Notamacropus eugenii: one gene and its partners. The protein of the gene in region 3 interacts with the protein of the main gene of each other region in a pairwise test. Links are inferred from orthologs where the notes say so. Each region holds a gene or a part of one and is shown on either strand. Other genes may lie near its edges. The genes, in order: PPM1A, FXR1, HSPB1 and PELO.

Region 1 (8,227 bases), on a different chromosome or scaffold from region 3:
AATATAAAAAACCAGAAGAGTATATGCCCTTAAGGAGTTTGCATTCTGGAAAATTGGGGAGGAGGCAAACAAGTATACAGATAAGTAAAGTCCTCCATTTGTACATACTTATGTGAATGTGTCAGTCTGTCTACTGAATTTGTGCTCTGGGAGGGTAAGAACTTTTTCATTTATATCACTTCTTCATTTCAAGGGTTTAACCTAGACCCTGAAACACAGTAAGAGCTTAAGAAATGGCTTTTAGCTGATGCAATAAAAAACACATACAAAGTAAATGCCAGAGAATTTGGAGTGGAGGCAGTGAGACCACCTGGGTTGAAAAAATAGGTGGGATGGATTGGGAAGGATGTATTCCAGGCAAGAGGACACACTGTGCAAAGGAAAGATGGAAGAAAAGGTGCTGTGTGAGAAATAGTCAGTAGGATATGAACCCTGGGCTGCAGAATGGGTAAAGGGAAATAATAATAAAATTTCTACTATTAATGGGCAGCTAGGTGGACAGAGTGCCAGGCCTGGATTCCAGAAGACTTATCTTCCTGAGTTCAAATCTGGCCTCAGACACTTACTAGCAATGTGACCCTGGACAAGTCAATAACCCTGTTGGTCTCATTTTTTTTCAAATGTAAAATGAGCTGGAGAAGGAAATAGGGCCTAGAGTCATATACAACTGAACAACTAAGAGCAACAACAACATCAACTGTATCAAAGTATGGCACTTACAAATGGTTTTACAAACATCTCATTTTATTCTTACAACTCTAGGAAGTAGGTTCTATTTATTATCCCCATTTTACAGATGAAAAACTGAAGAATTCTGAAATTAAGTGATATGCTCAGAGTCACACAGCTGGGATCAGTCTAAAAGAAATGAACTCAGGTCTTTTTGATTCCAGGTCCAGCACTCATCCACCCATCACTCAGCTACGTGTACTAAAATGGTAGTCTGGAGCCAGATTATTCATGGATCAATATCTCTGAATTTTTTTTAATGATGGGGCTAGTTTCATGGTGAAAAATAAAATACCAATTCAAAGAGCTCAAGCTTCAAATGAATATATTTTTGTGACTTGTTTCATATTTTAAGTATATGATAAATTACAGGAAATTTAGTAAATATGCAAATCTAGTCAAGAGAAGCAAGATCCAGCCAGAACTGGCAGAAAAACCTTTAAAATGTGGTTATAATGCCATTCATATCAACTATCAAGTGTGAACTGCTTGTACAGACTTGTAGTTTCAGCTAATTTTTCTCTAGTTACCTCCATCCTCCTACCAAGAGTTTCTCATAGCAATATCCCTAGATTTCCCAAAGAAAAAAAAATCAGCAGAGGTTCTCTACAGAAATACTTTTGCAGAGAACAAGTCACACACCAGTTTCAGAATACCAAAGAAACACAATGTTGAAAGTTTATATGTTGTATGTATGAAGGATAAGTACTTCAAATAACATTCAATAGAGAGCATAATCCTGAAAATACTTTATATAAAATCCTTCAACAAAGCAATTACGGCAAATCAAAAGAACTTCTGTCTCCCTCAAAATATGTTTAGGCTTATCAACTTTCAACCTCTTTGAGCTTCAGACTATATACACAAAATTACAGTGAAAAATGTTAAATTATAGCTAATCATGTGATTCTAATGCTTTAGAATCCTTTATTGAAAAGTGCTACAATTCTATGACTATTGGTGAAATGCATAAACTGAGGTAATCTTAACAAGATTTACAAATGTGCTCCATATGTATGAGCTAAACAAAAAAAGTTTGATATTAGGATTCTGTAATTAATTCCTCATCATAGAAGGGATGCAGTTTTGTGTTTGAATGCATTCCCTGAAAAAGTGAAACACATGATCTTATGTACGAAGTAAGAAATTGCTGGATGAGTTACACTTTTCTCAAGCATTTAAGAACCTATTCTCGAGATCAGTTTCCTCAATTCCTTAATTAAGGCTGCTGGACTAAATGATTTCTAAACCTTCATTCAGCTTTAAAAATTTCTGAGTTGATAAAGCTCTCTTTACCCACCCCCACGGTTTAAAGGCTAAGAGAAAAATCAATACAATTTATTTTAATAGATTTGGTTTCCGTTTACCTTGCAATAAACGATCGTCAAAATTTAGATACCTCACTAGAAAGACTCAAATTTAAAAGCTAGCCCCTAACTCACCTACTTCCCCCCGAAGTCACCTTTCCATCTCCTAAATGTTCTCTACGGATTCTCCCCAAAACAAATTCCAAGGCAAATATGGTCCAATCAAATAATCACCTGGAGGAAAACCATACATACTTCCTGCCCCCGGTGTAAGAACTGTTCCCACATTTGGATTCTGATCATCATCGCAGTCAAAACCTCTCCCCATCCCCCCCACCCCCATGAGTCGGGGCACAAGAGGACCAAGCCCAAGGTTGCTGGGGGTGGGGTGCGGGTTTAGGACATCAGAGCCATTTCAAAACCCAGTACTTTCCACTCCCTCTCCCTTTAGCGGGGGGGGGAAGTTAAGAAAGCCAGTGGTCCTAACAAGCCCAGGTTTTCCGGCCAAAGACCAGGGAGGTCCGAGAGAAGAGGCCAGGGAGGAGGGAGCGAGAGGGGGAGGGGGGGGAGAGGGAGGGAGGGGCCGGGGAGGGTCGCCTTCCCTTCCTCCTCCTCTGACACAAACACTCCCGGCCCAGCCCCCGCCGCCCGCCCCAGGAGGAAGCGTTAACCCGCGAGCTTCTCCCCGCGGGCGCCTCCCGAGCTCCTCGGTCCGCTCGTCTCCTCCGAGGGGGAGGCCGGGTAAGGGGGTGGGGTTGTTGGGTGTTCCCGGGAGTGCCCGAGCAGCCGCCCCAGCTTGTTTACAGGCCCCGGGCCTGGCCAGGCCGCTGCCTCCTCCTCCTCCTCCTCCCCCCCCTCCCCCCTTCAGGAGGAGCCGCCGTCTCCACCGCGCAGCCCCCGGAGCGGCCTCCCCCTCTCGGGCCCTGCGTCGCCGGCGCGGGGCTTACCGAGAGCGGCAGAAGAAGAAGCGGGTCCCCGGTCCGAGGCGGTGGCGGCGGCCCGGCTAGGGAGGGACAAGGGGAAGGGGGGGAAGGGGAAAGGGGAGGGGGGTCACCGCACGTCGCGGGCCGGGCCGGGCCGGGTCGTCCGGGAGGAGGGAAGGGGAGGGGGGAGGAGGTGGAACGTGTCTGGGACCCCCGGCTCGTGGCGCCCTCGCCGTCGCTCAGATCATCGCAGGCACTGGGACGGAGGCGCGGAGCGGGTCCCGGAGGGGAGCTGACGGCGAGTTCATCGCTGGCGGGCCGCGCCGGCCCCGTGTCGGTCTCTCCGCCCCCCCTCCCCCCACCCCCGCCCCAGCCACCCGGTCCTGCGATCCAGCCGCCGCCGAGTCCCCGAGCTCGGGGCCGAGGAAGCGCCGGGACCCGGTTGTCTCGCTCCCAAGCGCGCTCCCGCTTCTAATGTCGATGCCGCCTCCGCCTCCTCCAGCGCGCACGCTCGCACGCGCGTTCACGCCCCACTCCCTCTTCCTCCTCTCCCTACCCCCCCCCTTCCTTCTTCCCTCCTCCCCTTCCTCTCTCCCCTCCACAGCTGCGGCGCCTTGTAGCAGCTGGAAAGACCCGGATGTTGTTGGGCTGGAACTTCAGCCAGGGTAAGGTGGAGGAGGGGCAGGTTAGGAATGACATAATTCCTCTACCCCATCTTTACTTGGCTGCCTCCTCCCCGTCGCCGGCCTGCTAGGGGCTAGAGTTCGTGTGTGTGTGAGTCTGCGTGTCTGTCTCTGTGTGTGTATAGGAAAGGGGGAATGGAAGCTTCCACCTTGGTTTACACTCCGCCCCCAGCCCTCCCCCACCACCCCACGCCCCATGCACACATCCTGGCTAGTAGCATCGTCTCCTGATCTCGGTGTGGTTGAGAAAGTGCACGTTTTGTTCTGAGCCCTGTAGAATGTGGTCCCAAAATAGCCCTTCAGAAGTCTGGTGGTAGGCAGAGCTTGGTTTCTGATGAAGACTACATGAATTGTAACCGCCCACACTAGGCCTTCACATCTTCTTAAGCTAGACCTGAAACCCAAATAAACCTTATGTTATGTACCCACATCCTATGCATACCCCTAGTTTCATCTCCTTAAACACTTTTTCTTCCAAATGATTTTCTGAATATAAATACACAATGTAAAATATCCACACCAGTGTGGCACGAAATACTTTTTAACCAGCCATCCAAACAAGCAACCCTGGAAGTAACTTAAATTTTTGGCCACTCCCCTATTTAAAATTACAAATATCTGATTTTACAGGTCTTCCAGCATTTTTGCCAGTCCCATTTTTGACCCTGTAGATCCTCAATAATCCCTCCTCTGGTCAAACAGAGATACTCACCTTGTCCATTCCTTCCCGTCCCACCTACATTAATTCTCATATATCCATATACCCCTCTAAACTTTATAAGTGGACTCCAGGCCTGGAGTCAGGAAGACCTTAGTTCAAATACAGCATCAGACTCTTACTAGGTGTGGGAACCTGGGCAAGTTAGTTAATCCTGTTTGCCTCAGTTTCCTCATTTGTAAAATGAGCTGGAGAAGAAAATGACTAATTACTTTGCCAAGAAAACCCCAAATGGGTTCACAAACAATCGGACTGGACTGAAACAACAAACTTCCTACAGTTCTCTTTTTGCTTAAGCCATTGTTTTCCTCACAAGTTCCAAACACAGACATACACATGCCTCTACCGACATCCTTTGACACCCACATACAACTGGGTGTGTGCACACAAGGCAAAAATGAGTTCCTAGTAGATGTCATTCTGGAGCTGGTGAAATTCCAAATTCTCTTTGTAAGTGTTAGTCACATGTCTATATAACAAAGGACTTCAAAGTACTGAGGGTTAGTAAGGATTTTTAAGACAGGAAGGACAGAAATGTAACAGCTACTTCTGTTAAGGATGAACTAAATAACTGAAATAACACGTGCAAATAAATCTCTACCCATGTTTTCAGAAAGCAATATATGGGATGACAAGAGAATTAGCCAATGAATCAAAAAATCAAAAGCAGTCCATCTCTAGAGTATGCTTTCAATGTCTAATTTTTCTTGCCCCTTTCTGCTAGTAGCTTAACCTTTCTATAAATATGACATATGTAACAGATATGGTAACAAAATGGGAATTTTTTTTAAGGAGTAGAATTTTTTTTAGAAGTTTTACCACAAAAAAATCAACACATTTTAAATAGGGGATGTCCTGGAAAATAATTTTTAATTTTTAGAAGCCAAACACATTAAAAATAGGATTACGATTTCACTCTTGGTGGTGATTCCTCATTTTGCCTTAACTGCCAATTGTAGTACTTTTGTACACTGCTACACTGTTACAGATAAAAACTACTTTGTTAGTTTTTAGAAGGCACTCTAGCCTTCCACCAAAACAATCCATCATCTATCAGTTACTTTTTAAGCTTTTGGCAACATTGTTTCCTAAGGTTACAGTCCTTTTCCCTCTATTTTCAGAATAAGAAATTCCTAAAATCTCCAAATCATCCAATTGTGAATTGCAGGCAGAATCTTTAATAAACACAGTACCTTCTCTATCCTGCCTGTTTAGGGGGTAGAACTTCTTAGAGTGATAGAAATAGGTAAGTGTCCAAATTCAAATACCAAACGCAAAATAGACAAAATGCCACTTAATCTCCCTGCTCTAGCATCATCTAAGAATACACTTCCCAATTGTTTCTCCTTATACTGCCAAGAAAAAAAAATTTGAGTTTAAGATTCTTGAGCTTCTCCCCAAGTTAAATTTTGAATACATGATTAGAAGGAGCACCATACAAGACACAGAAGCTAGTTGGCAATAAAAATGTCGTTGTGGGAAATCACTCATAAAATCCAAACTCCATTTTTTTGTCCATTAAACAAAATCTATGTAATTAGTTATTGCAACAATTCTCTCCCTCCCCCCATAAATATCTCTTTTGGTCTTATCTTCTATTTCAAAGATTACATCATTCATCACAACCAAAGACCACGAGTACTAACTAGAAACTTATCTACCCTTTCCCTAAAAAAAAAACTTGAGACTCAATTAACTATTTGCTCCATTATCAAAAAAATTCTTACCTTATCCCAATCCCCCTCTTCACTCATATTTTCCAGAAAAGTAACTAACAGCTGTGTAAATGTGGCAAGTGCAAGAGCAACAAAATGTCCGTGATGTTAGGTAAATTTTGACTGAAGAGGATTAGCGTAGACAGGTAAGAGTAACTGCATCAATGGGACAAGCCAGAACAACCCTTCCTGAGTAATCCTAAGGATTATAGCAGTATGCAAAGAAATCTCTACTCTTATCCAATACCTTTATAGTCTAGGAGAATCTGGAACAATTACAATAACTGGTGGGAGCCAGGGAAAGGGGGAGTAAAACTAAGAAATCCTAGCATGAGAAAAAAAACAGAATGAGATTTTAAAACTCCAAGTTTGAGTTGGTCTACCATAAACTGCAAATATGCTGAAATCCTCTTTATCTAGATGTGGCTCTCAAAAATTTTTTTAGTGTAAATCAAGAAGTTTATGAGCTTTTAAAATAATACTTTATTAAGAACTAGAAAATTTTTTATTGCTTTTTGAGTAATATACCTATGGGTGAATATTCCTTTTTGTTTTTTGTTTTTTTAAAGTTCTTTAAATCTCTATTTAGTTTTTTTTTTAAGTTTAAAACAGGTTCTCACCTTTTTTTTTTTTTTTTTTTGATCATAGACTTCTCTGGCAGAGTCTGGTAAAATATGTGGATTGCACAAAATGCTTTCAATTGCATGAAATTAAGTATGTAGATTACAAAGAAAACCAATTATATTGAAATACATTATCAAAATGTTTTTTAAAAAACATTTGGACCTCAGGTTAAAATCCTTGTCTTAGCAGAAATACACAAGACTAAATGTTCATTTTCATCTAATTTTGTGGTACTTCAACAAGGAATTTTTTGACAAAATTTAATTTATGATTTCATAGCCCTGGAATGAAGTTATTCTACATTGTTTTAGGAAAATCTGGAGAAGGGGTGAAGCTGTTGTTTGTTTGTTTTCTTTTAATGAAAGGTAAAAAGACTCTGAAATTTTGCTTTAATGGTCTTCAGTTCCAAAATTTGACCTTTTATTTGCTACTCTTTTGAAAACAAAATTCATTTATTAAACATCTACATATGCCAGACTTTGTGCAAGGTGAAGAGGATACTTTTACTCTATCAGTCAGTGCCTCCAAGGAGCTTATATTCTATTAGGGGAAAATGTTTGTACATAGTAAATTATATACAATGCAGTTTCAAAGTAATTTCTGGATAGGTAGATATATTTTGTAGTATGCAGTAGCAAAGAACTGAAAACTAAAGGTGTACCTATCAGTTGGGAGAATGGCTGTACAAATTATGATATATGAATGGAATGAAATACTATTGTACTTTAAGAAAAGATGAAAGGGATGGCTTCAGAAAATCTTGAGAAGACTTGTTTGAACTGAAACAGAGTGAGAAGAACCAGGAGAAGAATTTATGCCATAGCAGCAACAACATTGTCAAGACAACTTTATAATACTTTAGAACTCTGATCAATACAATGACCAACCACAATTTCAGAGGACTCATGATGAAACATAGTACCCACTGCTGACAGAGACCTCATAGACTCAGACACATATTGAGACATTTTTGGGGAGAAGAGCTATGACCAAAGTGGGAATTTGTTTTGCCTGATCATGTATATTTATTTAAAGGATTTTATTTTGCCCTGCCCCAATATGGAAGGAAGTAGAAGGAAGAGAAAATAGATTCTTGTTAATAAAATAAAATTTTAAAAGATCTAAGATAAACATTTTGTTCAAGATACTTTGATGTGACTTAGGTCAGTTTCAACTGAAGTCTTTCTATCATTCAATAAGTACTCTGAACATAAGAGACGGAGTCTATATAAAATAATTTGAAAAATTCGTCTAATTATCTGAAGGTGTTATAACTTACCCCACCTCAAACGAAAAAAAAAAACCAAAGAACCAAAAATATTCATTATCCTGCTCTTTTGAGCAGTCAAGCTGGCTTGTTGTTGTCCTTCATTCTCAAAGAGGAACAAGATAACATCACTATGTTAGAGTCAAGCTTCAGTGTGTCCAATTGTGTCTGATCCAACCAATACGAATTCAGAATGTTCTAACACAGGTTGGACACAAATAGTCAATATGAACATTTGGGTTGGATTCTCTAAATTTCTTT
Region 2 (7,233 bases), on a different chromosome or scaffold from region 3:
TTTAATTTCTTAGAATTTAATAGTATATTCAAGTGGGGCACTACGTAGTGGGAAAAGCACAGTGTGGAAGACTTAGGTTAAATACTGACTTTCTTCATATATTTATTGCCTATTTCTTGGACAGTTATGAACAAAGTGTTCTCTCCACTATAAAACATAATGCAAAAATTTATAAATGACATGACTAGAGAACCTAAGTTTAATGCTGCTTCAGTGGTTTAGCAAAATCATTAAGGTGGATACACAGCATGTATTAATAACTACACCTTCCTCCATTACGCCTAATTTTTGATGGCAAATATACTAAAAGTGATGAATACAAACAAAACTTAAAACAAAAATACATAGTCTTTACCACACCAGTTATCTAGGCTATCATAACACACAACAGAGCTATTTCAATTCTTTAAATTTTCTGAACAGTAAATTATGCTATATTTTAAAGCTAATTTTACCAACTAATCATGTATTCTGGATTTCTGATCTCAGTGACAAATTATAGCTAAAATCCCAAGTCTATATATATTATATATTACCAATATATATAAATGGAGTTGATTAACAAAGAGGGTTTCAAATTTCATGTTTCCAACCTGGCATTATTTTCCTTAGAAACCTAGGACACCATGGAAACTTTTCCCTACATAAGCACAAGTATAGTATGACCTAACTTTCAATATCTCCCTAAGCAAAGTGTATCCTTTGGCAATGGTTAAATATTAAAAACCCTCAAAGCTAATAAAAGGGTGCTTTAAGAATTTTTAAAATTATCAGTGTTAAGCACTAAGGTTATTTTCTAGAGTTTTCCCAGATATAAAAAAATAGTCAGTAATACTCAGGGTTAAATTAACCCCCTTACACTTACCCTGGAACTTTTAAAACCCCTCCCCCTCCTTACTACAACCTAGTTAGGTAGGTAGTGTTGTGTATTATCATTCCCATTTTACAGACAAGTAAAACGAAATAAAATGAGGTCAATGAACCAAGCTCTGATTACAGAAGAATTGGAGTTGGGATTTCAAGTCCAGTACTCTTTCTACTTCAGATAGCTGAACCTTGAATGCTCTAATCACATTTGTCCTAGTGCGTTCCACAATTATTTTTTTTTAAAGGGTTACAGTCTGGAAAATAAATTTGAGACTACGGACAAAGAGTTTTCATCTGTATTTTCTTCTTCCTCTTCTCCTCATGTTTCATAATTCATCTTTAGTCCTTTTCATTTTTTAGCCAATTTTGTGAATGTATAAAAAAAAGTTTCATCTCTCCTAAAATATTTTACAGAGGCTTCCAAAAATGATATTCCCTACCTGCAAATTAATAGCCATAAAAACAACCTGTAAAATCACCTTGGGGAAATAACTGTTAGGAGCAAATTCAGACACGGCATTTTTCCTTCTAGCTGCCACCACAAATTAATGAAATGTACTTAGGCTAAACGAAATGTACGTAGTCCCCTTCTCCACTGCCCACGTGGTGGTCCAAGACGCAGCTAAATGTCTGAAAAAAATGCACACTATCGTTTCCTATAGAAAATAAGAGTAACTAACTACACTTCCTAGATGCACTTTGAAAACACTGAACTTTCAGGGCTAAAATACTTAAGTATTTCATTTAAACAGAACAGCAGTTCCAAAAACTCTAGCCACCGAAGTTTTGACTTTAGAGAAGGAAAGTCGTGACCCTTCCATTACAAGCTCGGCCCTGCCCACCTTTTAAGAGAATTAACTCCTACTTTGTAAACACTACCTCCCCGCCCGGGTCACCAGGCCCAGAGAAAGGATCCCGAGCCTCGCCTTCCTCAGCCACCTCCCTCATCCAGGGGACCCCAGCCGGACCCGTCCGTTCGCCGGGTACAAAGCTTTCCAAGACACAAAGGCCAGATGGAGGGCCCCCCGGGTCGGGGCTCCGGCCCGCCGCCCGCCCGCAGCCCCCTCTATTCTGGGGACGAAAACGCCAGCCCCGAAAGGCCGCGGATCCGGGGCCCGAGTCCTGCAGGCTCTGCCCTCACCCAGGGCCCCCCCAGCAGAGGGGACGCCCAGCGGGCCCCCGCTCGGGCCGAGCCGCACGGCCGCGGCCTCCACCAAAATAGCCCGGACTCTGAAACATCTGAGCCCAGGCTTAGACCGGATGACGGACGGGCGACAGCTGGGGGGAGGGGAAGAGCTAGGGGGGGTTCGTATCGATCTTATAACATCCCGGCCTACATGGGGGCAGGGCGGCAGTATAAAACAAGGCGGGGAGGGGGGAGAGAAAAAGATGGAGAAGGGGAAGTGTGGGGGGGTAGGGTTTTTCTTGGGGGGGATTCTTGCCCTGCCAGGCCTGTCCGTGTTTCCCCGGCTGCCCACACCTCCTCGCCTTTCTTTACACCCCCGATTAAACGCCCCCACCCCACAAACGGGGCCCAGGATGCTCTAAGCAACACAACGCTGGAAATAAGGGCCACCGCCCCCCCACCCCCGGGAGACATTCCGGAGATCTCCAGGCACAGGAAAGCGCCTCCGGGCGGGTTCCGTGGCCTACGCCCCCACTTCCCGGAGCGGTAGAGCGAGGCCCCGCGCGGAGCCCAAGAGGCTGGCCCAAGGTCACCGGGCCGCGGGCGCCGCCGCCGGGCCTCCCCGCCCCCTCGGCGGGCCTATGAACGCACAATCCCCGGATAGCCTGGGCCCGCCCCACCCCGGCCAGGCGCAGCGCGGCGCCCGGAAGCCCCGGGCCGGTCCCCGGCGGCTTCAGAGCCTAACGGAGCCGGGGTCCGAGACCGTTAAACCGCGGCCGCCGGCGGCGCCAGGAGGCAGGGCCCGGGCCGTGCCGCCCGCCGGCCCGCCCGCGCCCCAAGCCTGGGCCGCCCACCCCCGGGGCCGCCCCTTCCGACTTCGGCCCCGGCTCCGGCCCCGGCCTCGCGTCCACCCTCCCCCACAGCCGCCGCCCCCTTCCCCGCCCAATCCCGGCCTCGGTCCCAGCCCCGGCCCGGCTACCTTGTAGAAAGCCCCGTTGGAGCCGCGAACCTCCACCGTCAGCTCCGCCATGTTGGAACCGCAAGGGCCGCCGGGAAGGGGTTCTAGAAACTTTCCAACCAGAGGGGAGGAGGGGGGAGGGGCGTGGAGGAGGTGGGGTGAGGGGCGGGGGGGAAAACAGGGCGGGGACTGGGGATCCCCCGCCCCGCACCCCGGGGTCTCGCCGCGCCGCTGCGCCGCCGCGCCGCCGCCCACCCCGGACGCGCCCGCCCGCCCGCCGCCCAGCCGGATCCCTCCGCCCGCCGGGCCTCAGCACGCCGCGTCCGCAGCGTGACCCGCCGGCTGCCTCCGCCCGCCCGCGGCAGCCTGCGAGCCTGCTAGCGGGCCAGCCGGGCGGCGCCGCGGGAGCCTGGGGGCGGGGCCAGCCCGGGGCGGGTGGGGGAGGGGAGAAGGGAGGGGCGCCCCCTGTTCCGCCCCGCCCCCCGCCGCCACCGCGGCCGTCGCTTCGCCGCCCTCCCCTCCCGCCACTCAGCCCCGCCCCGGTCATTCTTTGGCCAGCTCCCCCACCCCGACTTGGCCGAGAACGTGACCCCTCCCCCGGGGGTTCGAATCGCCGGCCCCCCCCCACCGTCCGGCCCCTGCGGCGGAGAGGCCCCGTGGGCGCGGAGCTCGGAGGACCAGGTTGGGCCCGACCCCGCTCACCAGCCCGGGGTCTGTCCTCGTGGAAGGCGCTGTCGGTCTGAGAACACCGGGCGGCTGTCTTCAGAATATTTCTCCCCAACTGGCTTCCTCTGTAAAACTGCTCCAGTACCCCAACCCTGCTCCGAGAAGGGCCCTTCGGCGTCCGAACGAGGAGCGCAGGGCACCTCCTCCTGGGCGAGACCCCCGTCCCGGCCGGCCCCAAGGAGCCCTTCCTGGGTGCCCCCGGGGCCATTTGTGTTTGCTGGAGAGGCGTGGGCACCCCCCAGCGTCCCGGGGGACCCTCTCCCTCCTCCTGTGTTAGGGCTGGAGGACGCAGACTCTTCCAACGGGCTCCTAACAGCTTTATCTGCCTACGAAGAAGAACCTACTGCGTGCTGGGCCTTGCAGAACCGGGATGCCGTTTGCTGATGCCAAGCATTCCCGGCTCCCCAACTTTCGGGCTTTGAGGGGTGCCTAGGAACGCTGGGAGGCGACGTGGATTCGGTTCCTAGCAGAAGTCCCCTCAAACCACAGACCTCAACCCCCTTCCCACGCCTGTTGGCACTGGAGCTGTTTCAAGGGCACCCAGGGCAGTCAGAGGATCTCCACCTTGGTGATGGCATTGGGGGTTGATGGCATTCCCTTGACCTAACTGGTAGAAAACATCGCCTCCCATCTGCACAATCAGCTTGCATTCAATGGCCTTCTCCGTCCCAGACGCTGTGTAGCTGAAGCATGAGGCACAAAAATGGTTTTGTTCTAAAATGGTAGAACCTTACCTCAAAGGGAGTTTGTTGCTTTAGAGATACCTACTTAGATCAAGGATGGGGAACCTGTGGCCTCAAAGCCACACGTGGCCTGGTAAGTCCTTGGGTGTAGCCTTTCCACAGAGTCCAAGTTTTACAGAACCTTCTAGGTCCTCAACTGTGGCCCTTTGAATCCAAACTTCAACCTTCTAGGTGCTCAACTGGGGCCCTTTGAATCCAAACTTCAACCTTCTAGGTGCTCAACTGTGACCCTTTGAATCCAACCTTCAACCTTCTAGGTGCTCAACTGTGGCCCGTTGAATCCAAACTTCAAAGACCAAATCCGCTGAATAAAAGGATTTGTTCTATAAAACTTGGACTTGGTCAAAAGACAGCACCCAAGGACTTAGAAGTCACAGGTTCCCCACTCCAGACTTAGACGAGATCAAGGGAGGAAAAATCTATGTTTCCATCTCTCCTTTTTACTCTGGGCAAAGGAAAAGGATCATTTCCGTCACCTCTGCAATTTCCATTCCAAAAGTTTCTCCTTGGGCCCAGGACACATGGATTAACTTGAATCTTAATGGATAAACAGATAAGGTAATAAACATAAATCTTAAGGAAGGAAAACTTGAGGTCAAGGTGGTGGAAAAACCTTCATCTAGAACAAAGCAAAATTCAAAAAATGTGAACTGAGTGGATTAATAAAAGTAACTGGGGCTCATTTTGGAAATTAAACCTTCTGAGTCAGGCTATCACAATTTAGAATGACCTAAAACTGACATAAGGATTTTGTTTCATGTCTGTTTTCCTATTGAAGATTATGTTGTTCTTGTTTTAATAAGTGAGATGATTAAATGTTTTGTCATTTTTTTCTTTTAAATCAGCATGTAAAGAAATCTCTCAGATATGTTACTATTAATATTGAATAAGAGATTCTCTCAGTGAATAAGTATTCATCTCATATATAAGGCATCCCTTATCTGGCCAAAGACAGAGCTAGGTAGAGGCAAGGCTGAGATTCAAATAAGTGTTGAGTAAGTCGTTCTGTAACAATGGAGCCCAAGCATTTAATGAGCCTGGTGAGGGAAGTACTATTATCCCATTTTACAGAAGGGAAAATAGTCTCAGAGAGGCTCTTGCCCCGGAGGAGCACAGCTTTCAAGTGTCAGAGACAGACTTGTGAATCTAAATTGATTCAAAGCCAAAGTCCTTTCCATTCTAGATATTAGAAGACCTTGAAGATCCACCCATATCTTATCTAAAGTCTATGATTCTAAGCCCCATGTCCTTTCAAACTGGTATTCCCATGTACCTATACTCCTTCTAATCCTATCTTTTTCAGCCAAGAATTCTCTCCCACAGGATAGTGACAGATCTGGATTTTATAAATGACTCAGCAGCAGGCATAAGGAAGGATGTCTCAACTGTTTTTCCAATGGGCTGTTTGGACATCTTTTATTTTTATCACAACCTATCAGTTTGTTACCATACCAGAAAATTAGCTGGAACGTACTCACAGATATTAAAGAAAATAACATTGGGACTAATGAGTGAAGTCAGTTGAATTGAGATCGGACAATATTGTCTAACAGCTTTGGAAACAGCTACTCCTTTAGACTTCTATGATGAATAATGCCATGACTACTTAAAGGGGGTGGGAGTGAGGGTGGAAATGCTGGTTTTATTTATTTTTCTAGTTCTAGAACAAGCCCTTTATTTTCCAGAGAGTCCTCCAGTCCCTCAGATTAAGGGTCTGGCTCTACATTCCCTAAATCTGATGTAAGTTTCCCAAATGTCTCCCCTGTCATTTATGAGCCTTGAAACCTCAAGGAAATCACATAACCTTCCTGGGTTCTTTTTTGTCACCAACAAAATGTGAAGGTTGGACAGAGCCTCTGAGGTTCATTTTACCTCTTAGACTTATCAGGATGAGGATTAATAGCCAAACTGAGGAGGAGCGCCTTATCCAACATAAATGCTTCTGTCAACGGTTGAATTTCTGTTCAAATTCGTATATCAGTTACTAATTTAGCTATATGACCCAATACGAATTCCTTAACCTTTCTGTGCCAGAATTTTCAAAGGTATAAGATGGGGATGATGCCAACTCCCAGTGTCTCCTCCTTGGGTGATTTTAAGGATTAAAAGGAGATGATTATAAATTTGAAAGATTTATCTAGAAGATTATATATGAGATATATAAGAAAGATTCTATACACGCACACACGCACACACACACATACATATTTATAATATAATGACGGTTGTTGTGTCCTGTCCAACTCTACGTGAGTCTTCTTGGCAAAGATAATGGAGTGGGTTGCCTTTTTCTTCTCTATTGGGTACCCATGTTACATATGAGGAACTCATGCAAATAGAGGTTAAGTGACTTGCCCATGGTCGCATAGCTAGTAAGTGTCTGAGTCCACATTTGAACTCAGGTCTTTTTCACTCCAGGTTTGATACTCTATCTGCTACACCACCTAACTGTCCCATAATGCAGATAAAACATCATTGTTACAGCCTCAGTAAAATATAAGCAACTTGAGGTTGGAGACTTTTTATTTCTTTTTTTTCTCTAGGATCTAACTCCAGTGCCTTTCCTCTTAAGTGACTTTCATTTAATAAATGATTGCTTACATCCAGACCAAAAATCCTCCAGAAAAAAAACACACCAAAAAATCTGAACTGTCTTTACCCCCAAGGAGAAGATTTTTTCTATTAAGAGGTATTAAAGTTGTGATAATAATGAGTTCTTACCTTCATGTTTCCGTTTATATTTTTGAGACTTTTTCCCATTTAATTCTGACGGTCCCTTCAGGGAAGTAAGAATGTCAGGAGACATTATCCTC
Region 3 (7,133 bases):
TCAGAAGCTGAAGGGGGCAGGGGCCATGTCTTTTCTCAACTTTATATCTCCTCTAGTCCTGACTGAGTGTTTTGTATATCATAGACATTTAGAGGGTTAGAGACTGGATTTGGGATTTCCTTGATATAGGAACTTCTGGGTAAAGAAACACCTAATAATTTAGGCTGACCCCTTCTCTGAACCTTAAAGTTTTAGAGTTACCTAATACATTGAGAAATTAAGTGATTTACCCAGGGTCACATAGCCAGCATGTGTTGGAGGAGGGGTTCTTTCTGGCTTCAAGGTTTGCTCTCTGTCAGGTAGGACACGCTGCCTCTCTAGACTCTTAATATATGGAGCTTTTTGGGGGGGAGGGGCGTGGTTGTTGCCCCTGAGCCCTTAGCCCTAGCACTGAACTGCTCTAGTCACCAACAATAAGCCCTCAATCTTGACATCTGTGTGCCCATCTCTAGCAATAAACCTCCATTCCTGTCATAGGGATCCATTTATACTCATACAGATCATAGTTTTACAGCTAAAAGGGACTTTTCAGGGATTCTAGCCCACTCACCTCTTCTTAAAGTTCATGAAACAAAGGTTCAAGTCAAATAATTTTGGGGGGGTCATCTAGCTAACAAGTGGCAAAAGTGAGATTTGAATTCAGGTCTTTCTGACCTCCAAGTTCACCACCAGGCTTTCCTTCTATTCTTGGGTCAAGAAGCAAACTTCCTTCTGCTTGTACAGGAGAACAAAGGACTGGGCACACACTGAGACTTCAGACCCAGACAATTGCTACCAGATCCTGCCGTCTGTCTGGAGTGGGTCTGTGTGGGGGGTGAGGTGGGGGGGTGGGGGGGTGGATACAGGAGGGGTAAGTAGGCATGGAGGGAATACAAGGGGCTATGACTGAGAATTGGAGACCTCTCTCCAAGGGCCAGCCCCCTCTCCCAATACTCACGTGTATTTCCTAGTAAAACATCTGGAGATGAATCCATGCTCATCTTGTCTTTCCTCATGTTTGCCTGGGGGAGATGGGAGAGAAACAAATGAAGACTGGGGGCCTCTGGGAGACACACATTAATACCATCCACCCTCCCCCCAGCTGTTCTCTCAGAATTCCATTAGAGACCATTATTTAATAGAAGAGGAAATAGAAGCCCAGGGAAAGGAAATGACTCTTTCCAAGATTACACAGTAAATGGCAGAGCCAGACTTTTGAACTCTGAACCTCTGACTGAAGATGCAGTGGTTTTCCATAATCCTTTGTGATTTCCCTTCTCTTGAGTGAGTTCTTGTGGGAGAGGGGATATGGGAAACCTCCACATTTAGTGCACTGTCCTGAAGTGGTAGAGGTAGGTGTGGCCATCCAAGTGCCAGGGAGCTTTTTGAAGAGGGGCATGAAGCTTTCTCTGAAGTCCTCAGTAAAGGGCTGGAAGCAGCCCCAGCCTCTAAGGCTGAGAGGTGGGAGTTGGGCATGGGAGCTTAAATGGCTCCATGGCTCTGGACAGACAGGATCAGAAGGTTCCAAAGGTAGGAAGATGGCTGAGCACAGAGGCAAAGTGGGGTTTCACCTTCCCTTGTATCTCCAGTTCTCAGTACGGTGTCTGGGACACAGTAGGCACTTTTCTACTAATGTTTAACGTGGAAAGAATGACAATCTGCCAAAGGAATGGGGCTCAGCCCTGTAGGGGGCCTAGGGGTGGAGTTTGGGTCTGGTATTTGGGGGGAAAGGTTTCTGAGCCAAGTCCCATCTAGGTTCCTTCCTCCCTCATGTGCAGCAGCAATAAACATGTTTTCTCTCTGCAAGTCCAGGCTGGGAGAGAGAACAGCGTGTGCCAACTTTCTTCAGGATGAAGGTATGAGGGAAGGATGCTAGGAGGAGCCTCTGACTAAGGCCCTCTGATTAACCCATCACCTCCTGCCCCAGGATGAGAACCCCTGGCCCAGGGTCTGGGGTATCCAGCCCCTCATGCCCTGCCCTATCCCAAGACAGCCAGGAGCTGATAGCATGTTCAATGTTCTCCCTCTGAAGGCCCAGGAGGAATGCCTGTTCTGCCCCCCAACTCTCCCTTCCCCTTGGCCCATAGCCAGGACTAACATTCCCCTACCCCTGCCCCCCCAAACTGGGCTGCCCTGGGTAGACAATAAAGTTCAGGGGCAATATGGAGAAATGGGACAAGGGGCTGGGATGTCTACTCACCAGTGATTTCTACCACGCCATCCTTGGTCTTCACAGTCAGCTCCTCAGGGGCAAAGTGGTTGACATCCAGGGTTACTCGCCAACGGTCAGCTGTCTGCTGGATCTCTGACATCCCTCGGCTCAGCTGCCTGCTGAGTGCTCTGCTAAAGGCCTGGCCGGCAGCGGGTGGGGGTGCCAGGGGCCCAGCAGCAGCAGCAGCGGGAACCTGCTCGGCCACAGGGCTGGGCAGCAGCCGGACATAGCCTGGCCAACTGGTGTGGCTGGGCCATTGATACCAGTCTTCTGGAAGGCGGGGCAGTCCAAAGGACTGGTCGAAGAGGCGGCTGCCGGCTGGGTACCAATCCCTGAAGGGGTCCCAGCTGGGGTTTCGCAGAAAGGTGAAGGGAACTCGTCTCTCAGTCATGCTGAATTCTTAGTGTTGGGTGGGTAATGCTCAGGACCTACAACTCTCCCCTGGAGCTCTGGGACTGAGTGTCTAGGCTGGGCTGGCCCCGGTTATAAAGAGCCAGAGCCAGTTATTTTTAGAAGACTGTCTCAAGACTCTATTAATGGTAATTACACTGGGGCAGAAAGCCTGGGGGGGCGGGAGCAGGGGGGCCGGGCTAGGACAACGTCCACCCCCTTAGATTCCTTGGGGAGGGAGAGAGAAAAGGAAAAGAGGGAGGGAGAACAAGCCCAAGCCCTGCCCCAGACCTCGAACCTTCACTCATCTTTCTGGAAAATGAAGGAAGAAAGAGGGGAAGGTGGTGAGAGACTGAGGGACGAGGGGGATGGGGGGTGGAGAAGAGAATCTCCTTCATCATCCCCCCTTTCTTATGTACTTGGGCCAAGACTGCCCAGGGTACAGAGAGTACGACTTTAGCTGGGTGTCCCAGGGAACAAGGTGTGACTGGATTGCCCCTCTCCCTATCTATGACACCCCCTCAAAGAGATGCCTCTCCCCATTGCCCAGAAAGGGTTGCAACTTTGCCAAGGACACACAGAACAGGGCCTTGAACCAGCAAACTTGTAGGTTCATGAAGTTTAGAGCTGGAAGAGCCCTTAAAGCCCTTGCTCCCATTTTGCTGATGAGGAAGCTGAAACTCTAGGAGTCAGCTACTCCCCTAAGGTCATCTATTGTACATTTTCAAAAGCAGAACCATGTTACTCCTAACTCTAAGCATTCACCCTGACAAGAGGATACTTGGGGAGGAGGGCAGTACAAAGCTGACCCTACAGCTAGGGGCTGGGGGTGGGGAGTGAGAAAGACATAGGACTGTCTTATTGGTACAATATCTTGAAAAATCTCAGCTTTAGGTCTCAAATGCTTTTTTCTATTCTCCCCTCCCCCTCCCTTTCTCTGCAAGGGTATTTCCTCTCCTGTCTCTCCTCTGCACTCATGTCCTGACCCTGTCCATCTCCTGTCCTTAGCCCCCACGCCAGGGGGGTCCTTTGCCCAGGCTTGAGTTAGCTCTTAGCTAGGGCTGTCTCTGTGATATAACCCTAATTCCCAACAACAGGCACACACACGTTGATCTCCCACTTCACAGGGAGGTTGGGAAACTGGGGACCCCCAAGATCTATTCTTGGGGCAGTTATTTGTGAAGCATAGCAAACATCCCAGTATAAAATAGCTTGAAGAGGTGGGGCAGGGACTGGGACTCTATCAAAGAGACACTGAGGATACATCACCCTCTTCATCTTCCAGGCTGGGTAGCACAAAGTCTTCTGTCTTTCAAAACCTTAATTTGTCCTCTGTGGACACTATAGAAAGAACTCTTTAAAACCTGATGTTCAGATCTCACCTCTGAAACAATACCTGTGTAACCCTGGGCAAGTCATTCACCGCCTCAGACCTCAGTTTCCTCATTTGTAAAACAGACAGACAGCCTCTGAAGTCACTTTCATTACTTAAGCTAAGCTGCTGTGAAGGGCTCCAGTCTGCCCCACCCCCTAACTCTTTGGGGTCTCAGTTTCCTCATATCTAAAATGAGGGGTTTGAACTAAATGACCTCAGAAGTCCCCTCCAGCTAGTTACGATTCTATGATCTGGTGACCTCTAAGCTCTATGTGAGATCTAAATCTTTGTTTCTATTACTCATCAGTGTCTCCCCACCCCCATCCCACCCCTAGGTCAAGGAGAACTGGAGAAATAGAATGAGTGAGCTCAAGCCCGTAAAAGGCTCCAAGCTCAGAGATGAGACAGATGATTGAAACCCACACCAGGTCCGTTCCCAAGGGGGCTGGGTCAAGGCTGGTGAGATCACACCTATAAAGTGCTTTGAGCAATCTGGAAGAAAGAGAGCCGAAGAGTTGAAAATATACACAGCTCACCCTGCCCTCATCTCCCCGCTGCCCCACAGTTTCCAATTTAGGAAAACAAGGCTAATCCAAAGAGATAGAACAAAATAATCCAAGCAGGATTCTTCTATCTGAATTGTTCCCACTGACTCTCTCCTCCCACCAACAGGTTACTCCAGCCAGGGGCAGGGCTGGGCTCAGCATCAGACCCGGTTAAGTTGAAGGGGTAGAAGAGGTGAGCCCTGGAATCTTTAAACAATGGATGAATATGTTTGTGGATGCCTTCATGTTTCCATTGGGCAACCTCCTCTTCTCCTGCTTTCTCTTTTCCCCAATCCTCTAGGGATGGGAAATAGTAGGGATGGAGGGCTGAGGAATTCTGATCTGCTTCTATGCAGCTTGACTCTTGGTCCTCCCAAGCCCCACCCAACCATGTTTTCTGAAAAATAGGTGAGATCAGAAACCACAAGGAATGTCAATCTTCCCTGTTCACCTAGTCCTTGGGTGGGGTCTGGGAGTCTCTCCTCATTGGGAGGAGGAAGCTTTGAGGAGTTAGAATCTCAAAGTCTTTTATAACTCTTGACAAATGCCAGCTGTGTTCTGTGGGTGTGGGCTCCAAACAACTTGACAGGTTAAATCTCCTTTCATCATCCCCTCCCCTTGTACTTTAGAACTGTCCCCACCCTTAGAAAGGTCTGGAAACCAGGGGAAGGTCACACAGCTGTCAGTGGTGAAACTGGGATTTAAAACAAGAGTCTGTATCCCTGAATCTGTCTCTCCTTTCTCCCATCCGTCCCATCCCTGCATACTCACGCCCTCTCCCCACAACCTCCTTGAATCAGTGATATCTTAACCAAAGACAGATTTGTTCCAATCACTTCCTAAATCCCTGGTTATAGTAGGTGAGTTCTTCCTTGAGAATTCTCCTTGGTCAGTACTCACTGCTCTCTGCCATCAAGAATAAGACACAAAGTGTAGCCAGGTTCTAGACGTGGGCTGCAGCCCAAGAGGGAGAGAGTAAAAAGGACATTTAGAGAAAGGGAGAAGGGCCATTAAAGAGAAAACTATGACTAAAAAGAGGAAGGATATCTCAGGCAGCCAAGGGGATCAGCTCAGAACTAGAACCTTGAGGAAGTAAAGCCATAGGGAACAAGCACTGGGGTCATGCTCAACTCTGAGGAGTGAACTTGGAGGGACATGAATCTCCAAGGCCAGCTACCCTTTGTATCTGCCTGCCATGGAACAGTCTGTCCATATACCATGAAGTCATCAGTCCAACCAGCTTAGAGTCATCTGCTCCAACCTCTCATTTTACAGAGGAAGAAACTGAGGTCAAGAGGAAGAAAGGAACTTGCCCAAGGTCACACTGTGACAATGACAGAATTGGGAAGAAAGCTCCGGTAGCAGCAGCAAGGGTGTTGGACCAGGAGGGAGAAGTGGGTAGGTATTTCAGCTCTGTCATTTACTAACTGTATGCTCCTGGGTAAATCACTTCCCCTCACCAGTGCAATGAACAGTTTAGACTAGGTTAAACTCTAAGCTGATCTGACTGATGTGATGACTTCCCAGCTCTAAATTCTCTGATCCTATAAGCCTAGATTTGCTTTTCCTACTCTATCAGGCCCTGGGGGTGGGAGGGTAGCACTCAAGACAAGAATACAAGGACTGAGCAGGCAGCAAACAACTCCCATGGCAGAACTTGGTGGTCCCCATTCCCCACCTAGCCCAGGGCTTGGTCTCTCATCTTAAACCTCCTGATGTATCTCCCTGCCCTGCTTCATCCTTCTGAGTCCTTTTCACATCCTTATCTCCTTTTAGAGACTGGGCTGCTCTAAGATGAAAAGTGTTCTGGGCAGAGAAGGTGCTGGGCATGTTTGGAATAGACTCAGGAGGGTTACACGACTTTCCTAAGGTTACACAGTAGTAAACAGCCTATCTGAGCCTCAGTTTCTTCAACTCAAAAATGGGATACTAGTAGCACTGCTTACCTAGGGTTGCTGTGAGACTCAAGAGTTCATAAAGAATCAATGTTAACAGTGTCTACTATTACTATTATTATCAATTATTAGCAGTTTGGAGGATTGGGTAGAGAGCTGGCCTAGGGACCAGGAAGATCTGGATTCATATCTTCCCTCTAACACATCCTGGCTGTGTGACCCTGAGCAAGTTATTTAATCTCTAGGAAACCAAGACTATATATTTTAAAGAAGGTGGTGTTCTGCATTGGTGGAGAGACTTTCTTCACCTGGGAGTTCCCCAGGTGAAGCTCTCCAATGAAATTACAGGGCCAGTCTCTATCACATGATGATTATAATATATTTTATAGGAGAGAGCCCTCAATTGGGAGTCAGGAGACTAATGCATGAGTTCCAGCTTTGTCACTAATACCACAACCATACTGTGGGACCCTGAGTAGGTCACTTGCTCTCTCTTGGTCCCAGTATCTAGCTCTACTCTAAGTTCAAAGCTCTCTTTGAAGTCAATTACATTTTTCCCAACATCAAGTTGCCTTATGTAAACTGAGGAGATTGGACTAAATGATCTCTAAGACCTCTTGATTGGGCTGAAACATTCTACTATGTAGAGGCAGTGTGGTGCAGTGGAGAGCAAGCATAGGCTTTTGGAAACGGAGGACTTGGGTTCCAATTCCACTTCTGACCCTTTCCCTGAGTGA
Region 4 (7,580 bases), on a different chromosome or scaffold from region 3:
GAGAACCTGACTAGAACAAGAGCAGTGGGTAGAAACAGTAAAACTGGGAGGACAATGAATTTGGATGTGTTGTGTATGGGTTGCCTATCAAGAATCAGCTTGATGTTTGTTGTGGCAATACAGCTATCTCCCTAACCATTAACTCACTGTAATACTGAGACCTGTGGGATGGGATGAGGGGACATGGAAGAACCATGTGACTGCATTTCGTGTTGTATTACCTTGGGATTGAGTCAGGGAAAAAGAGTTCTTTTAGGAAGGGGGTGGAGACGGAGTAGATATGGAACGCATAAAGACTCCCTTGTTCAAAAATGTGTCTATCCTTTTGTTATGGGGGACTGGCATGTGCAAAGTATTGGGGACTGTATCTCCTCAAATGGGAGGGCTAGGGAGGCTGACTGTGGGAAAGTCACAGTGACATGTAATAGAAATGCCTCAAAGAGATCTTGGCATTGATTTAGACATTCTATAACTGGTTCGGCTAAATTTCTCTATCAGTGAAAAGAATATTATACAAATGTTCCAGGCTTGAGACCTGGGTTACAGCTAGTTGGTTGTTGTTCAGTCATGTCTGACTCTCGTGACCCCATTTGGGGTTTTCTTGACAAGGCTACTGGAGTAATTTGCCATTTTCCTTCTTCAGCTCATTTTACAGATGAGGAATTGAGGTCAGCATTATTAAGTGACTTGCCCAGGGTCACACAGCTAGGAAGTGTCTGAGGCCAAATTTACACTCAGGAAGATGAGTCTTTTTGACTCCAGGCCCAGCACTCTATCCACTATGCCACCCCGCTGCTCTGGGTTACAACATATTTACCAATTAGAAACTTTTTGGGGGAGAGGGGCAGGGAGAGAAATCAAATCAAAGCTAGAAAATATTGTTTCACACCTTAGAAGGAATTACTTCAATCAGACATCAAGACTAACACCTGGACCAGATTTCTTAACCTTTTTTTTGAGTCATGAACCCTTCTGACAACCTGGTAAAACCTATGAACCTCTCCTCAGAATAATGTTTTTAAACTCATTAAATAAAACATATAGGATTAGAAAGGAAACCAATTATACATGTACCACAGGCAGCCCTGACCCCTACCACCTGAAGGCCAAGGGTGTTAGATTTTACCATTTCACCCCTTTCTTAGGGTTCTCTGGTATCCTTAAGAGGACTGAGGGGTGTGTGCCATTGGCTCCAGCTCCAACTAATGGTATTCCCCCATATATAGGGGGTGTGATTCCCTGCATCCTAGTTCCTATTAGCCAGTAACAGCCATAGTAGCTTTTACACAGAAATCTTTACTTCAAAAGGTAGAATCACAAACATACAAATTTACTCCCCCATCATGTGGGAGGCATAATCCTCATCCTCTTTGGACCACCCCAGTGCCTGGAGAGGGGAAAGGAATTAGATTCATAGTTTAGCTCAGTTCCAAGACCAAAATCCCTCTGGGGCTGGAGTCCCCATGTACCCTGGCTTCTCTGGCCTTCCAAGCCAGGCTGGCTGGATGCACCACCCTGTCTGCAATCCTGGCCTCAATTTTGCCAGGGTTCAAACTCCTGGGGGAGGGGGATCATTTATGCAGCTAAGAACAAACAACATAGAACAAAAACACGCGCTCCCAGGTCCATTTCTCAGGGCGGACAGTCCTTTCCCTCTCACCAGTTCAGTTACAGGCATCCCCACCATGGGTAAACTGGGTAGATGTATAGTAGCAGAAAGAGATCAACCTGCTCAGTCTCACCGATTTTAAAGATGCAGGTAGCCAGTCAAAGGATACTAAACCCACTCTTGTGGTAGGGGAACCACTGGGCTCCATAGGCAAACTGGGAATGCTCAAAAGGCCCCTCAAGTAGACCTCTATGTTAGACAAACTGGGCATGACCCAACACACTCAGGTTATAGACAAATATAATTATCAAAATGTTTTTGTAAAAACAAATTTATAGACTCGAGGTTAAGAACCTCTTAATTTAGATGAATGTTGCTGGGCATTTACAGCAAGACTTTTGAATGCGAAAAGGTACAGAACAAGAAGCATTCTTGGTGAGATAAGGGAATTTGGATGGCCAAAGTCACTGTTGCTAACCTTAACTCAGAGACTACTGTACAATAAGCAATCTTCTAATGAAACCAGGTAGTATGAGCAGTTGATCTGGATCTTGGTTGAAAACTTTTTGCCTGACTTATCCAATTGTTCCCCCATTTTTTTTTCTTGATTTTGGCCAGTAACGTTTGGCCCCACAGTACTGTGAAGAGAACTGTTTCCAAATCCAGCATTTTACACAGGCTACTGATCTGCAGAAAGTGCAGATTGGTAGTTTTGGATTCTGCAATTCCCAGGACACTGGGTCAAGTAACTCCAAGGCTTTCTAAATGGTAAATTCCACAAATGCTTTCTGCCTCTGGAATCAGTGCTTTTTAACTATTAGTTAAAACTAGGTCATGTGAGGACAGTTGGAAAGATCAGAAAGTCAATCTAGTTGGTTAGGCATGCAAAGCTGTAATGCCATTTATTTTGGAAACCTGACACACAAATCCCACATGTATACCCAGCTCAAAGTGGCAATCTGTTGAGTATGCACATGGGAGCTGAGGGAAATGGTGGGCTGCAGTGATCTGTCAGGATTAATGTCACCCACCCTCCTGAAAGCGATGACGTTTGTAGATGGTCCTTAAGAGCTCTGGATGTGGAGCCAAAGGGTCTCACTTTGAATCCTTCCATTTATTCCCTCTTAGACCTTGGGCAAGTCACTTAACCTCACTGGACCCAATTCCTCATTTCTAAAAAGAAGAAAGAAAGAGAGAAAGGATGAACTCTGTAGTTCAGTTACAGGCATCCCCACCATGGGTAAACTGGGTAAGATGTATAGTAAAAGAAAGAGATCAACCTGCTCAGTCTCACCAATTTTAAAGATGCAGGTAGACAATCAAAGGATACTAAACCTACCCTTGTGGTAAGGGAACCACTGGGCTCCATAGGCAAACCGGGCATGCTCAAAAGACCCCTCAAGTAGACCTCTATGTTAGACAAACTGGGCATGACCCAACACACTCAGGTTATAGACAAATATAATTATCAAAATATTTTTGTAAAAACAAATATATAGACTCCAGCTTAAGAACCCCTGAATTTAGATGAATGACTAAAATCATTGACCCTTTAAACCAGAGATTGCTTTTCTTTTTTGTGTATATCATGGATTATGCTGCTAAAAATTAGCACCCAGCTATCTGATACAATAATATCCACAATAAACTTTAAAGCTTAACCTGCATTATTAGCATTTTAACATCAGTTAATTTAACACTGACATTTTAATATTCCATCACTCTTCAGTCTAGGCAATCAACCAAACAATAAATCATGCCCTGAATTGTAGTTTGCCAATTTGAGGTGTAAATGCTCACTCTGAAAATTTAACAGTGTACTAACTGCTTCCAGCAAGCCCATGCATGCACCCCCTTTGCAGTCTGGTGGAGTCTGGGGACTCTTCTCAGAATGTTTTTAAATGCGTAAAAATAGAAGTCATAGGACTACAAAGGAAATCAATCATTAATCAGCAAACATTTATTGAGCACCTACTGTGTGCCAGGTGCTGTGCTAACTGCTGGGGATACACAATAGTAACTAACATTGAACGTAGCACATAGTAAGCACTAGGCATGACACTAAGAGATTTACAATTGTCATCTCCTTTGATCCGCACAACAGTCCTGGAGGTGTGGGGGGGTGTATGTATGCACATGCATACGTGCGTATGTATACATATGCGCACATGTTTTACATAAAATATTATATATTTTCCACTTACAGATGAGAAAACTGAAGGAGAGGTTGTTAGGTGACTGGGCTGGGCTGGCACAGCTAGTAGATGTCTCAGGCCACATTTGAACTCGGGGATCTTCCAGGTCCCAAGCTCTATCCACCTCCCCAACTGACTTAAAAAAAAATTACACTGAACTACAGGTATACAAAGATTTTCAGACATATTCACAGATCCCTTTCTGTCTTTGATCCAATAGACTATTAGCCCTCGGTGTTCAGGGCTTGTTTCAGTTTTATGTGTTCTCTTCGGGGCTGGGTACACAGAAGCGTTTAATAAATGCGTGCTGAATGTTGAATGAATGACGCCCTCCCAGTTCCAAGGCTTGGGGCTCCATGAGAGCCGTAGTAGCAGGGCTGCGCGCAGAGGCTTCCGAGACGTCCCGGTGCCCCTCCTGACCACGCCGGCCACGCCCCTCCAGGCCACGCCCTCTCGGCCACGCCCCCTCCCGGCCACGCCCCTCCCGAGGAGCCCAGGCAGCGGCGGCGCCGCGGGACCAGTGCTAGCGGACCCGTTCACTCTTCTCTCAGACACAGCCAGCTCCGGCGAGCGGAGGCTTAGTGCTCAGTGAGCCTGCGCACGCCGCATGCGCCGTCCACCGCTTCCGTAGCTTTACGTACGCCAGTAGAGACGTGGCTGGGGAGGCGGTCTCTTGCGCAGGCGCACTAAACAGCCCCCGTTGAGTCCGCGCTGCCGGCCGGTCTGAGAAGGGGGCGGCGGGGCTAAGAGGCTCCGGGTCTTGACCGCGGCGCCCTCCCACCTGGGCGGCGGGGTCCTGAGCGCCGCGTGCGGGAGAAGGAAGGTTCTCTGGGGCGCTCTTCTCCTCCTTCCGCGAGGCGAATACCCGCCCGGCGGGGCGGCGGCCGCCAGAGCCAGGCCGGAGGCGGCAGGGCCCGGCCCCTTCCCCCCTCCCTCCGGCCGCCCCCCGCCGCCAGCATGAAGCTGGTGAGGAAGGATATCGAGAAGGACAACGCGGGCCAGGTGACCCTGGTGCCCGAGGAGCCCGAGGACATGTGGCACACGTACAACCTGTTGCAGGTGGGCGACAGCCTGCGCGCCTCCACCATCCGCAAGGTGCAGACCGAGTCCTCCACGGGCAGCGTGGGCAGCAACCGCGTGCGCACCACGCTCACCCTGTGCGTGGAGACCATCGACTTCGACTCGCAGGCGTGCCAGCTGCGGGTCAAGGGCACCAACATCCAGGAGAACGAGTACGTCAAGATGGGCGCCTACCACACCATCGAGCTGGAGCCCAACCGCCAGTTCACGCTGGCCAAGAAGCAGTGGGACAGCGTGGTGCTGGAGCGCATCGAGCAGGCCTGCGACCCGGCGTGGAGCGCCGACGTGGCCGCCGTGGTCATGCAGGAGGGCCTGGCCCACGTCTGCCTCGTCACGCCCAGCATGACCCTCACCCGCGCCAAGGTGGAGGTGAACATCCCCCGCAAGCGCCGGGGCAACTGCTCGCAGCACGACCGCGCCCTGGAGCGCTTCTACGAGCAGGTGGTGCAGGCCATCCAGCGCCACGTCCACTTCGACGTGGTCAAGTGCGTCCTGGTGGCCAGCCCCGGCTTCGTGCGGGAGCAGTTCTGCGACTACATGTTCCAGCAGGCCGTGAAGACGGACAACAAGCTGCTGCTGGAAAACCGCTCCAAATTCCTTCAGGTACAGTAACCCGCCTAGCTGAAGGGCTGACCCAGATTAGAGCTTAGGGGTTGGCATCAATGTTAATACGTTGTGTAGGAGGGAGGACGTTTAGAGGGATAGGGAAATGACCTTTTTCTTAATCATGTCCAGTCATCCTAAAATGTAAGCCTGGCACTAAGAGAAAATGAATGTCCCATTTTTTCCACATTCATGTTTTCTTACCCTTTTAGGGGAAAAATGATTTAGGTATGCTTAACAATAGGCAGTTTGATGCTAAGAGACTTAAATGATCAACCTGTGTTATGAAGTCCTTATGAAGCATCTCTACATAAGTAAATATACATAACTTTAATGTGTAAAATACATAAGTTTAATGCCTTGCATGTTTTGACATTTTGGTTAGGGTTGATGTGTTTAACGTTAATTGAACAAGTATGAGTTAACTTTTAAAAGGAAGAATATGTGCTCTAAAATATTTCATCCAACCTCTGTAATTGTGATTCCAGGTACATGCCTCTTCTGGGCACAAATACTCGTTGAAAGAGGCCCTTTGTGATCCTACTGTGGCCAGCCGCCTCTCAGACACCAAGGCTGCTGGTGAAGTCAAAGCCTTAGATGACTTCTACAAGATGTTGCAACATGAACCTGACCGAGCTTTCTACGGACTTAAGCAGGTGGAGAAGGCCAATGAGGCCTTGGCAATTGACACACTGCTCATCAGTGACGAGCTCTTCAGACACCAGGATGTAGCCACCCGAAGCAGATATGTGAAATTGGTGGACAGCGTCAGAGAGAATGCAGGCACAGTTCGGATATTTTCTAGTCTTCATGTATCTGGGGAGCAGCTCAGCCAGTTGACTGGAGTTGCTGCCATTCTACGCTTCCCTGTCCCTGATCTCTCTGACCAGGAGTCTGGTTCAAGTTCTGAAGAGGATTGATGATGGGCACCTCTAAAAAGACACTATGTACCACCCAACTCCTTCACCTACATAAACTAATATGTAAAACAAATATTCTCAAATCTAGTACGAAAGCTGCTAGGGAGGTTCAGTTTCATTTACGTGAGTGGGTTTTTCTTGTCAGGCTAGTCTCTTTGTATTGGAAGACCAATACAACTAGAAAATAAATTAAGATAAAAGTAATGTCTAATTTTATCCTTATTCACATTGACAATTACTTTTAGGAAAAAAATGGTTTAGAAATACTAATAATATGCAATTGATACTTAGGATAAAAGTTTTTACATCAGCTGCATTCACTGTGTACTGTACTGGGGTTAAGCTACTGTTTCTATCTCTTCTTCATATTTTCAGAGTGCATTGCAGGAATTTTACTTAGTCCTCACAAATAACTAAACTGACAGTGTTTTTTGGAAGATGGATAGAAAATTCACCAAAGAAAACCTAAAAACTGACACTATTGTTTAAGGAAATTACAGGAATTGAATGAAATCATTTCTAACATGCCAAGAAGCCATTGTGCTTTATCCTTAAAAGTTAACTTTATGCTATTTGGTGCACTACTTAACCTACTATTCATAGAGTTTTAGAGCAGGAAGGAACCTTTGTAAATGTAACACTTTTATTTTAGAAATGATAAACTCAGGTCCAGAGAAGTTAAAGTGACTTTCTTGAGGCCAAGCAGGTAATTATTAGCAAAGATCATAGTGGAATCCAATTTTGACTTCATGTGCAGTGGTCTTTCTTTTTACTTATTTTGATTTGTCAAATTTATTAATAGTTGTAGTATTAGAATTTCAAGTTGACTAACTGGAAGCTTTAAAGCAGTATTTTCTAGATTCTAAACAGTTTTCATTTAGTCATGCAATTGCATCATGATTGAATAGAGCCTGTATGTGGAAAAATAATAAGATATGTTTGACTTTTTTATAATTGAAAAGGGTTGCTAGGTAATTCTCTAGTTCACTAAAATGTCAGTGAATGATCTATCCCTGTTTGAAGTGGTAGATTATATTTTGTTTATGGTCTGTGGGTATCAAGTGGAAAGTTTTAGACATTCATTAACTCCTGATCAGTCCAAAATGATATGATTTATTTCTTGTTCTGACAGTTGACATATGTAAATGAAATCTACTGATAACACGATCAATT

Evidence for each region.
Region 1: the proteins of HSPB1 (region 3) and PPM1A interact in a two-hybrid assay, tested with the Homo sapiens proteins (2 studies listed by BioGRID and IntAct). The link is inferred for Notamacropus eugenii from reciprocal best matches to the Homo sapiens genes HSPB1 and PPM1A.
Region 2: the proteins of HSPB1 (region 3) and FXR1 interact in a two-hybrid assay, tested with the Homo sapiens proteins (2 studies listed by BioGRID and IntAct). The link is inferred for Notamacropus eugenii from reciprocal best matches to the Homo sapiens genes HSPB1 and FXR1.
Region 4: the proteins of HSPB1 (region 3) and PELO interact in binary tests that used the Homo sapiens proteins (3 or more experiments, as listed by UniProt). The link is inferred for Notamacropus eugenii from reciprocal best matches to the Homo sapiens genes HSPB1 and PELO.

The regions. Positions count from the first base shown.
Region 1 is NC_092872.1:303,345,243-303,353,469, reverse strand, and holds the start of PPM1A (protein phosphatase 1A), read right to left. Parts: upstream 3,120-8,227; 5' UTR 2,984-3,119; intron 2,365-2,983; exon of another isoform or gene 2,292-2,364; intron 1-2,291. UniProt on the Homo sapiens protein: Enzyme with a broad specificity. Negatively regulates TGF-beta signaling through dephosphorylating SMAD2 and SMAD3, resulting in their dissociation from SMAD4, nuclear export of the SMADs and termination of the TGF-beta-mediated signaling.
Region 2 is NC_092877.1:343,425,624-343,432,856, forward strand, and holds the start of FXR1 (RNA-binding protein FXR1), read right to left. Parts: upstream 3,208-7,233; 5' UTR 3,024-3,207; coding exon 2,973-3,023; intron 1-2,972. UniProt on the Homo sapiens protein: mRNA-binding protein that acts as a regulator of mRNAs translation and/or stability, and which is required for various processes, such as neurogenesis, muscle development and spermatogenesis.
Region 3 is NC_092873.1:51,268,600-51,275,732, reverse strand, and holds the start of HSPB1 (heat shock protein beta-1), read right to left. Parts: upstream 3,075-7,133; 5' UTR 2,583-3,074; coding exon 2,180-2,582; intron 1,836-2,179; exon of another isoform or gene 1,194-1,835; intron 1,002-1,193; coding exon 938-1,001; intron 1-937. UniProt on the Homo sapiens protein: Small heat shock protein which functions as a molecular chaperone probably maintaining denatured proteins in a folding-competent state. Plays a role in stress resistance and actin organization.
Region 4 is NC_092875.1:410,128,694-410,136,273, reverse strand, and holds the start of PELO (protein pelota homolog), read left to right. Parts: upstream 1-4,431; 5' UTR 4,432-4,761; coding exon 4,762-5,487; intron 5,488-5,975; coding exon 5,976-6,407; 3' UTR 6,408-7,580. UniProt on the Homo sapiens protein: Component of the Pelota-HBS1L complex, a complex that recognizes stalled ribosomes and triggers the No-Go Decay (NGD) pathway.